Linked DNA regions of Danio rerio. The protein of the gene in region 1 purifies or fractionates together with the protein of each later gene. This does not show direct contact. Links are inferred from orthologs where the notes say so. Each region holds a gene or a part of one and is shown in the gene's direction. Other genes may lie near its edges.

What was found.
Region 2: the proteins of rnf111 (region 1) and skila purify together in Homo sapiens (affinity purification with western blotting; 3 studies listed by BioGRID). This does not show direct contact. The link is inferred for Danio rerio from reciprocal best matches to the Homo sapiens genes RNF111 and SKIL.
Region 3: the proteins of rnf111 (region 1) and skib purify together in Homo sapiens (affinity purification with western blotting, with the first as the bait; 3 studies listed by BioGRID). This does not show direct contact. The link is inferred for Danio rerio from reciprocal best matches to the Homo sapiens genes RNF111 and SKI.

What each region holds. Positions count from the first base shown.
Region 1 is NC_133182.1:30,527,764-30,531,802, reverse strand, and holds the end of rnf111 (E3 ubiquitin-protein ligase Arkadia), read left to right. Parts: intron 1-1,802; coding exon 1,803-1,920; 3' UTR 1,921-3,516; downstream 3,517-4,039. UniProt on the Homo sapiens protein: E3 ubiquitin-protein ligase. Required for mesoderm patterning during embryonic development. Acts as an enhancer of the transcriptional responses of the SMAD2/SMAD3 effectors, which are activated downstream of BMP.
Region 2 is NC_133177.1:40,324,471-40,328,685, reverse strand, and holds the start of skila (ski-like protein), read left to right. Parts: upstream 1-1,334; 5' UTR 1,335-1,389; intron 1,390-3,057; 5' UTR 3,058-3,210; coding exon 3,211-4,215. UniProt on the Homo sapiens protein: May have regulatory role in cell division or differentiation in response to extracellular signals.
Region 3 is NC_133186.1:27,858,084-27,861,737, reverse strand, and holds part of skib (v-ski avian sarcoma viral oncogene homolog b), read left to right. Parts: intron 1-1,052; coding exon 1,053-1,324; intron 1,325-2,349; coding exon 2,350-2,580; intron 2,581-3,654. UniProt on the Homo sapiens protein: May play a role in terminal differentiation of skeletal muscle cells but not in the determination of cells to the myogenic lineage. Functions as a repressor of TGF-beta signaling.

The sequences.
Region 1 (4,039 bases):
GGTTTCATAGTCATGGAAAACCTGAAAAGTTCATAGAATTTTGACATGGAATTTTCCAGGCCTGGAAAAGTTTGCACGCCAATCCCCATGAACATGTTTTGGAAAAACAGAAAAACCCACAAAGTTTTGGAAAAGTCATGGAAAACAGATTCTTTATACTTGAATATAGGTTATTTACTTCTTTACTGTCCTTGGCCAATCACATCCTCTCACATTATTAGTGTGGTGTAAGCATTATCTAAATCAATTTTACATAGATATAAATATAAATTGAAACTAAATAGATTGTTGTGTGTTTTACGAGATGCTGTAATTAATTTGAACATGCATTGTTTTTCTTTTACCACGCATATGTAGACTGTGCATGAAACATTAGGTCATGAAAATGGACTTGAAAGTCTTGGAAAAAGCGTGGAGATTTAGTAGTAAAAATGTGAATATAATAATATATAATTTTGTAAATAATAAATGGTTGTAGGTATTAAATAATAATTTCCCTTTTTAAAACAGTTTATTGATTTTCTCTAACTGCAAGAGTCGGCTGATTTAATGGGGTTTGAGCTTCTCACACTGCTAGTTCGGTTTGTAAGTGTTGTTTTTTAGTGATCTATAAATAATATAAACTCTATAAACATCTGTTTAATTTACTGAGCACCAATATTAAATGATCACAATAGAGCAACGAATCAGCACATTATGATGATTTCTGATGGACAATGTCTGGAGTAATGACGCTATAAGTTTTGAATCACAGGACTAAATAACATTTCAAAAATATGCTCTAACGGCAAATAAAATAAATAAAATTCACAAGAGCACACAACAAACTATGGTGGCATGATGCTCATTCAAAACGACAGTCTCGTTCATTTTTCCAGTCTCTCCTGGAGTCAAATGTTTCTTAAGACAAGAAAATTACATAAAATATGTTAAAAAAACAAAATTGTATTGTACACTGCAGTACGGGAGAATTGAAGTAAAAAATGCCATAGGTTTTCTGAAAAGCCATCCCTAAATCAGACATGTAGGTCCTAAATCTAAAATGTCCCTGTAAGATCCCAGAGGGACTGTAATTTAATGCATTTAATATAAACAATTGATTTTCATGAGTGAATAGTTTATGTACTCTGCTGCCCTCTGGAGTTGAAAGGTGTGAATTACTTTGCGCTTGTTACATATTCAGGGGTTTCCTCTATCTATACCAGAGATGACCAAACTAGGGCCCTGGTAACCTTTGATTTAGTATGCATCCCATCTGAGAAAAGAGAGACAATGATGGGAGGGTTTCAAGATTGTAAATTCAAATTTAATGTAATCTTTTGTTTGTTTTTTTCTTAAGAGCTAGCTAAAATTAACAATTATTAAAAGGGTGTAAATTGGTCAGATTTTGTTTAAATCTAAATACTGTCACCCGACAATGCAACGACTTTGGTGAGCAAATTAAGTCAAAGTCAGATTTCGCTTGACCATCATATTCAGCATTGAACTTGACTTTTATAAATGTGATTGTTTTATTGCAGTAAGGTGTCGTTTAAAAAGTAATACTGCATTAGTTAATATTGTTCAGAGTAATGGTTTCTATTTATTTTGAAATATTAGGAAATGAACAAGGAAATTATCCACTGCAATTTTAATGGAATATAGTTTCGTATGTTTACCTTTGGCCCATGGTTTGCAATGATATTAGAGTTTTGGGCCATCATACAAAAAAGTTTGAACACCCCTGATCTATACAGATGAAATTTCTTTGCCTTGAACATTGGTGTTCTCTATTCTGAAAGTCCTGTTTGTTTCTTTTGCAGGCGCCTTCCATGTATGCACCTCTTCCATCAACTGTGTGTAGACCAATGGCTCCTCACTAATAAAAAATGCCCCATCTGCAGAGTGGACATCGAGGCTCAGTTATCTTCAGAGAGTTGATGCTATTTTTCTTGCTACATTTTTGTTGGACATTATTTTGTTGTTTTCCTTTTCCTTTTCGTCAGTAACGCATTCAACCAAAGATGGCATGAAATACCTGCGCAACTATGGGAAAAAAGAAACAAAACAACAATCCACACACACAGACACACACAAAAGCATCAAGCCTAGCGTGCCAGCTATCATGTAGTACCAGTACAGCTAGAAATAACATCTTCATTAAGGGTTTTGAATTGTATTGTATTTATAAAGGGTTTATGTAGCTTTTGTTTTCATAAGTGTCATTGTATTTTATTTTTTTGCATGGTTCCTTGCAATGCATTTCTTTGCACATTTAATGAACTAGGCCTCATACGGCCTGAGAACTTGCAGGCGAGGATTGCTGCTCTGGTAAAGAAGCATTTTTACATACCTGATGCCTTGCTTTACTGGAATAGAATGTCAACCTCCATTTTAAAACATTGCAGGACTCAATTTATTGATCAGTATATTGATTAGTTTTATGTTTTAGACAATTGTGATCTGATTTTTTTTTTTTAAAGTGAATCAAGACATTCCTTAATTAGGAAACAAGATCATGGTTAAGAAGATCAGCTGCTGTAACAGTGTTCACCCTCACGCCAATTCACTCTCCACACGGGAACCTGGGCTGGAGTCCATTGCATTTCACTTTGGCTCGTTTACCAGCGCTAACTCGATTGAGGGAGTTAGCGTGAAAGCATTCAGAGATGCGCCTTGTACATTTACTCTTAAATTTATATGCATTAGATCCTGAACCAACGGAACAGAAATGAATTCAACTCCAGCCCTGATGAGAACCAACTGCACACTTCACCTCTTGAACGTTCGCACGGTTGCGTTCCATCAGTCCCCTCTCAGCACCTCAATCTGCCGTCACATGTAACGCACTTCACCTGATGTATTTTCAAAGAGAAAGAAAAAAATGAATGTCACCTACCTGTATTCTGATTGATTGTTGTTTTTATTCTATGATGAAGTCGGATTCTCGATCGAGTGTAATTTCTCAGATGAGCTCGATTTGTTGACTTGGTTCGGTGAGAATGACAGGCCTATAGAAACAGCCACCGCAAAACATGGAGTGCTGGGATTATTTATTTTTTCATCAGGGTCTCCTAGCCTACTTCATTTAACTCTCTTTCTCTCTCAGCAACCTAAAAAGTGACTCTTGTTAGCTGATTATTTCCTCTCGGATATTGCCATTAACATGCATTTGTTTTTTGCGACTGTGCAGCAAACTGTTTTCCCCTTTTCTTTGCTTAATTTTTGTTTCTTCTTCTTTTGCTGCTGTGAAATCCTAACACTAATATTAATCTCAACTAGCTAACTTGCATATACTTGCACATGAGAGACAAAAGACAGGAGTGCTGTGATAATGAGAGTGTGCTGAGGCCGTGTATTTCCACTCTGATTGCTGAATTTTGAGGAAAAACTGTAATAATTTTGAATGGAGTGTTGGAATGCAGTACTTAATGGCAGGCGTCCATGCATTCATAGATTTAATGGCCCCAGGATGATATTCCATGGGATTTATATTAGTTTTAAAATAATGAAATTAATAAAGTTAGGTAACTCTTTTATGTGTCCATTCTTGTGCCTTCTTCTGCTTCACAGATTTACCAAGGTAATTATGATTTAACTGAGGTAACCTAGAAACTGTATGAACGTCATGCAAATGATCTGTGTACTATACAAACCTGCATTCTCTCACGTAGAGCAGTTTTCTAGACTGCAGTTTTCAGAACACACCTACGGATGCTAATGTAAAATCTATTTAAACAACATTCATTATTACTTGGTTATTGAAAAAGTTTTCTACTGATTATTACTTGCAGCCTACTGAACGAGAATACCTTTGCTGTATATGTAGACAATGAAAAGTGTTGTGGTTGTTTTAACAGAGTTTTTGTGCATAATTAATACTAGATCTGTACTAAAAAAGAATAGAAAATACATTCCCAAATAATGTTTAACAGAGCAAGTACATTTTCACTGTATGTCTGATAATATTTTTTCTTCTGGGGAATGTCTTATTTGTTTTATTTTGGCTAGAATAAAAGCAGCGTTACATTACTAGCCCCTTTAAGGAATATTTAATTTT
Region 2 (4,215 bases), on another chromosome or scaffold:
AACTGTAAATTGTTATTGGGGAAAGTTATTTTTCAAAGTAATGCATTACAATTTTTAGTTACTCCTCAAAAAAGTAAGTTACATTACTAAGTTACTTTTTATAATAAGTAATGTGTCACGCTACTTTTGAGTTACTTTTGCATTACCTTTTCTGACCTGGCTGAGACTTGATCTGTTTCAGATCTTGCAGGATTTTTTCCTTCTTTTTTAAAATAAAGCAGCTCTGCAATAAACATCGCACTAAATAACCTACACCTTCATTTACCTTTTAAAAACACATCATAAAATAATAATGTAGGATAATCTTATCTTTTGAGAACTTCCTGACCCTCAAGGATATATGCCTATACAGGTAATAATGAAAGTCTAATGCAATGTGACTACTACTTTTGTCTTTTTTGTGCTATTAATAAAGTAAAATCACTATCCATTGAGACTATAATCCTGTTTTCCTTTTCTGTGATTCGTTCAGAATAATAAGAAAACTCCCATTGCAGAAATATAAGGCTCTGCCATGTTGGTTTCTGTCTTTTCCTGCATTCTATCATTGAGTGTGGGATTCAATCTGACATTTATTTTATTTCAGCCATTTGTTTTTATAAGCTAATTAATTAAGCTAAAAAGTCACTCAAATAGTATTACTTAATTTTTAAAAATATGCATTACTCATTACTTAGAAAAGTAATATTATTACGTAACTCGTTACTTGTAATGTGTTACGCCCTCAACACTATAATTGTAAAACAGAATAATGTTTTATGTCTTTACCAAGTACAAAAACTGTGATGTTTTGCATGATATGTATTTCATTTAAACAGCCCATTTCAGATGAGTCATTATCTGTGAAACATTGACAGACCTCAGCTCATGCTGCCATTCATTATTCCTCAAAAATCATGCTAAGTCATAGCGTGAATGGGGATGTGGCTAAAGTTACTATTTAATTTCCATTTACTCCTTTCTCTTACCATAAAGTGATTCAAATTCAGCATGCTCCACTATGACTGTCCCTAAGTAGACAGCAAAACTCCCTTATTTCTAAAGAAATGTCCCTTGGTTAGTCATGTGTGCAAGCGCAAGTTACTAGTAGACCACAGATGACAACTGAACATGTACTACATGCATTACATTACATTTACTGTAACCTGTAAATTCTTGCAAAGTTCATGAGAATCTGGCGGCGCGCTGCAGACAGACAGGACAGACAGACAGACAGACACACATACATAGACACGCCCGCGCAACATCATCCGCTCCGCCAGTGCGCGCTCTCGCTGTGTGTGACGCGCGATCTGTCTGAAGGCTTTGAGTGTGTGCGCGTGTTGTTGACGCTCAGACAGACTAGAGGAGAGACCGAGAGAGACAGCAGAGCAGATCGTTCATCCTGAGGCAAGTCCCTTTAAAACCCACATCTGATTCGCCTATACACTGCGTCCATTACTCTGGTGGATCAGCAGTTTGTCGCTGTGTTTTTTAAAACCGTTTTGAAGGTTTGTAATAGTTAAGTGACGTTTATTTCTGTCTCTGAACGGGGATTTGTAGCGTTAGCTCGGTTAGCGCGTGCTAAAGGGTCTAAATATTCTAGCCGCACTGCTAAAGCTGTCTGTGCGAACGAGCCAGTTTTTCAGATGTTAAACCGGTTTTGGTGCTGTCAATGAGCAATAATAATTTGCTTATAGGTGGCGTGTGAATTTTTGAGATGTGTGTTTTGATGTGCCATTTAAAAGGGTATAATATACGTGTATATTATGTGTTTAACCTGGTCATATTGGTGATCGAGCTGGGAGTATTTGTGTGATTGATTTAAATCTTAGATATGATCTATATTGTGTTTAATACAAATGTCTGTATTTCTGTTTTTCAAAAACAGTTTTGGGGATATCGCTGTTTAACGTATTTTGAGGGGGTGGTCAGGTGTCAGACTGGCTGAATGGTTGGCAAACGTTTCACTGCCGAATGAAGACATGGGAATGGATTTAAAATAGAAGCTTTCGATGTCGTGTTGGGATATTTAATGTGTAATAGCCGTGATCAGGTTTTCTTTTCATGTGAAGGGTTTTCCCGATTGCGGGGATGGTGATTGTCACACCGCGGGTGCTCAGCGCAGCTGTGCCCGGAGAAGGAGAGGGGAGAGACGGGTAGAGGCGGGGACAGAGCCGCGGTGTCCTTGCGGGGGTAAAAAGAGAGACGCTGTCATTCAGGGTTAAAAATAGACCGCGTTTTGCCAGTGTTTCTGGAAACTGGTTATTTTATGAGGAAATGAAACGACGTCTGCGGTCAGGGTCAGTCTGTTTGAGTTGACCCGCAAATCTGGTAACGTTAAAGCAAAACCAAGCGTTTATTTCGAGGAACTTGAGATTATTATGCTTTGGTGGCCCTTTAATTTTCGCCAAAATGAATGCATTCCGTTTGTAGAACAGAAACGCATGTTGTGATTCTGAAATGAAACGCGTTTTTCTGATGGATTTTGCCGAAACCCCACTGGCATGCGCTGAATTTGAGGCTGAGCTTTCATTTTGCCTTCATATTCGTGCTCGGAAATTCCGCCAGTTCAGGCTTTTGCTTGTACGATGAAAACATCCTTTTTTATTTACAATATAATATATACATTTAATCTTGCGTGGCAGAAGTGGTGTTTATGTGTCGTTAATACATTTTGTTTCAAGCCTGCTGTGGTTGGACAGGACTAAATGGCTGCTCGCTGTTAGTTACTGATGCTGTTGGTTATCTGTGTTAAACCGACGTTATTAGTGCACTGACTCATTTACCGCCTTGACGGATTCGGCATGTTGTCAGTAGAGAAAAACAGCGCACTAAACCAGCGAGAAACTGGCCTTAGATCGATTGCTTTCAAATTAGATTATCCTGATGAGGTGAAAATGTTTCTGTCGTCTAGTTTAGCACTGTGCCCAACGCTAAAACGCTTCTGGATGCCTTTTAATTGCTCTGGCAGCATTTTCCATTCATCCGCATTCACGTGGCTTCACATTCTGATTTGTGTTTGATTTAGTAAGAATTGTATTTTAATACAAGCCTTTTTTACCTTTTCATTCACAGGAAGCTCGTTGAACATTTAATTCTGTCAGCATCATGCATGTAGCTAGACGTAAAAGGATTTGCAACCTTTAACACAGCGAGCAAAGTAGGACCAACCCAAAGGTGTCGTGTCTGACGATTATTTTCCACCCAAGGAAGACCAGTTATCTGTGTATGGATATGGCCAGCCCTCAGACAGGTCTGAAAACCCCTTTTAAAGACCTGACCTCATTTAAAGGCAACATGAAGCGGCTGTACAGGGAGCGACTGGAAGATGCTCCCATTAAAAAACGGGTAATGGCAGAGATGCATTTGAAACGTCGCAGCCTGGAGAGCATCCCCAAACCCCTAAAAGTCAAGAAGGAGCGTGAGGAGCACACCAGCTCAGAAATGGACATGGAGGAAAGAGAATTCCACATTGTCGGAGCATCCAAGGCTTTAGATCTGAGCGCCGGCCTCAAGCACACGCTGGCACAGTTCACGCTGAGCAGCCAGAGCTCCCTGGGAGGTCCTGCTGCTTTCTCAGCAAAATCGGCACAGGAGTGCGCCTCTCCTGCTGGCATGGCTCCCCTACCGTCTCCCCCAGTCCTCGGAGGAGGCCCACTCTTAGTGCCCTGTGACAGCTCCACAGAGCTTACCCATTCTCTCCTTGAAGGAGAGTCCATCTCCTGCTTTGTTGTAGGTGGTGAGAAGCGTCTTTGTCTGCCCCAGGTACTCAATTCAGTGCTCCGAGACTTCTCTCTGCAGCAGATCAATGCTGTTTGTGATGAACTTTACGTTTACTGTTCGCGGTGTCATGCGGAGCAGCTGCACATTCTCAAGGTGCTGGGCATTTTGCCTTTTAATGCACCTTCCTGTGGCCTGATTACCCTAACTGATGCCCAACGGCTCTGCAATGCCCTGCTTCGCCCAGGTGCCACCATCTCAGCAGATCCCAACAGCAAACTGCCAGGCCAAGGCCTGCTGAAGGAGAGTGACATCAGTTTCCAGGTGGAGCACCAGTGTCTTGGCAAGTGCCAAGGCCTGTTTGTGCCCCATTTCTACGTCCAGCCGGATGCCCCTTGCATTCAGTGCATGGAGTGCCAGCTGCTGTTTTCCCCACAGAACTTTGTAATGCACTCACACAAGTCCCCTGACAAGAGGACCTGCCACTGGGGCTTCGATTCAGCCAAGTGGCCC
Region 3 (3,654 bases), on another chromosome or scaffold:
TATCTGGCAGTTCCGTATTGATTAGCTCAATACATGTTTCTAGAACTTTGTTCAGTATGATTATAAGAGTCAATTTTAAATAGATTACCTCTTACCTCAATAGGAGAAGCTTTTTTTAAGTATGTTTTTTTGTTTTGTTTTGTGTTTATTTCTATAAAATATAATATATTGATTTGTTTATTTAGTAAATGCAGCAATGTTGATTTTGTTAAGAGTTTAGTATAATTGTAAAAGGCTGCATTGAGCAAAATAAAAACATTTGGCCTAATGCAAACTGTAAATTTTTCGCTCTCATGAGGTGATTTGGAGGCAAATTAATAAAAAATTTTTTTGCAAAGCTGCAACAAACTTTTTTTGCTTTTAGAGGTCACATGGTATAAAATCACACAGTCAATCTGTTTATTTATAGAAACTTGCACAACTCAAATATAGTTGATCTGCTCGTATAGAACTTCAGAATCCTCAGTTTCTCTGTGGAGTGATATTGTTTGTCTGGTGCACATGTATCTCATTTTATCAAAAGTAATGTCAAGTATGTTGACTGCAGTATAGTGAACATACTTATGAAATATATCACCATAACTTTTAGAATGACTATGAAACGATGAGTTTTAGTCACATAACACATAACGCTGTTTTTAGTATTAATGTTGTGAAATGTTTGTCGTAAGTGTGTGGTGTGGTATATATTCAGTTCATCTTTATTTATATAGCGCTTTTAAAATGTAGATTGTGTCAAAGCAGCTTAACATAGAAGTTCTAGTAAACTAAAACTGTGTCAGTTCATTTTATTTCAGTTCAGTGTGGTTTAATTTTTACTGCTGAAAGACCAAAATGTTGTATATCTATTACACTGAGGAACAAATTGTCCCATTTACAGTTACAGTAATGTAAATCCTGTCATTTCCGCAATTGTTTTTATCAACATTCTAAAATTTTTGCAAAAGTTTTGTGCATACTTGTGATGGAATCATGTCTACTGTTTCGATTTAGAGTAAAATAAATAGTGTGCTTTTACTTCATCACCTGTATTGTCTATTTTCTGATTGCAGTTGCTGTCTCTCGTTCGCTGATGTCTCCTCCCTTCACCAATGGTGTCGGGGTGATGACCCTCAGCCCTCACAGCTCTGCAGAGGTGCATGATGGGAGGGCGAGACTGGCAGCGGGTCATTGTTCAGAGCTGGAGCTCCTCAAGCAGACGCTCAGCAGTGACCTGAGCTCCAAAGAGGCCAGAGAGAAGTTCCTGCAGGAGATCATCCGCATGAGGGTGAAGCAGGAGGAGAAACTGGCAGCCGCTCTGCAAGCCAAACGCAGCCTGCAGCAGGTGTGGACTGATAAATATTCAGCAATATACATAATAAATATACATATGTGTTGAAATACACATAAACCTGACAAAAGTTACATTTATATACAATTTATATTAATAAATTTTATATAAATCTATTTAAACACTAAAAATAGAGTAGATCAGTTTCTAGATATAGAAATAGTAATGTTTTCTATGAATGTATATTTTTATGGTGAAGAATGTAACCTTTAAAACTGTTAGGTAAGTAGTATATATATATGTATTTTATATATGTTTTTAATACAAACCAAAATATTACTTCATATTCTATGAAATCTGTTTTAAATAATACCATTAGTAATAATACAATTCTGAATATTTCAAATATAACACTTCTTCACTTATTTAATTTATTATTTCAATATTTTTGAATATTTTGTATGTTGATAAGTCCACTAACTGAAATACAGTTTGATGAAGTACTGAAATACTAAAGCTAAAACTGAAAAATAAATAAAATAAATAAAGCTAATACAAAACAAACTGATCTAAAATACTGTAACAAAAATAAATTTAATAATGATGTTAATAGTTAAAAGAGATAATATAATAATATTAGAGGTGGCGCAGTGGGTAGCGATGTCACCTCACAGCAAGAAGATCGCTGGTTCAAGCCCCAGCTGAGTCACAGTTGGCATTTCTGTGTGGAGTTTGTATGTTCTCCCCATGTTCGCATGGGTTCCCCACAGTCCATTGACATGTGGTATAGGTGAATTGAATTTTTTAAATTGTCCATAGTGTATGAGTGTGAAAGAGAGTGTGATTGGTTGTTTTTTTCCCTGATGGGTTGCAGCTGGAAGGGCATCCGCTGCATAAAACATATGCTGGATAAGTTGGCGGTTCATTCTGCTGTGACGACCCTTGATAAATAAAGGGACCAAGCCGAAAAATAAATGAATGAATGAATAATAATAGAATAGTTGGTAAATGTAGTCTCCAGATTGCTTTGTCGGCTTCACATGTTGTCCATGATCAGTAACACTGATTGTCTCTGACAGGAGCTGGAGTTTGTCAGGGTGACTAAGAAGGGCCGGCTGAGGGAGGCCATCGAAGCCAAGCGGAACCTAAGGAAGGAGATCGAGCGCCTCCGTGTGGAGTGTGAGAAGAAGGTGCGGGACGCCAGCGAGTCCTGCGACAGGCTGAAGAGGGATTTGGACAGAGAGAGACGGACCCGTGTCTGTGACAAGAACTGTGAAGCAGGACGTCTGAGGGCCAAATACTCCTCACAGGTAAAATCCGGCTGCTGGATTTGATCTGAACGATTTGAACTTCACTTTATATGTAATAAAGTATAATGACAAGAGGATTACATTTCTAATCACAAGCTTTTAGTTCAATGATGCTTTTGAATAAATACCAAGTACAGATAATGTCACTAATGATCACTAATAACTAATGCCATCACTAATGTATCAATCACTAATAATATAATATAATATAATATAATATAATATAATATAATATAATATAATATAATATAATATAATAATAGCCTGATGAATGTTAAATGGATCAAATACATAAGCTATAAAATAGTTAGTATATCTTAATGAAAGTGTTTTAAACTTTTCTTATTTAAAACATGATTAAAACTGTAATTTTATTTTTGAGTTTAAAAATCTCAAACAAGTGACAAGTTAGAACAGCCAATAGTTGTTTATTAATATTAGTATCATTTTTATTGCATTTAAGAATGCATTTGCTTGTAGGTGCATAAAAGTACAACTAAAGTATTTAATACATTAATTCATGTAATAATATTAATATTATTTAATTATTTATTTATTTTACCACCAACAGTAAAAATACGAGACTAATAATTATGTTTTTTTTTCTTTCCTTTTCAAACATTATAATATTTGGTTAAAAAAAAAACTCTGCAATGAGATACTGGGGAAAAATGACAATGAGATTAATACATTAATAAATGTAATTACTTTTTGTTAAACAAATATGATAATCATGCTTAACCATATAATATTTCCAGGTATTGTTCAAAATAATGTACAAATAAAGAAGTAACATCGTTTTACACTTAACAAAAAAGCTTGAGTGTTAGATTAAGGCTCTGGATTTATATTATATTATATTATATTATATTATATTATATTATATTATATTATATTATATTATATTATATTATATTATAATACAGACAGAATTTAAAAGCTGACACTTGTTTCATTTTAAAAGCAGGAAGATTAGCTTTCAGATTTCAGGCATGCTAACAATGTAGTTTGGTCTGTTTGTTTTTTATTGAACATAAATTGAAAACTAATTTTAAGATAATCAGTTGTAATCCA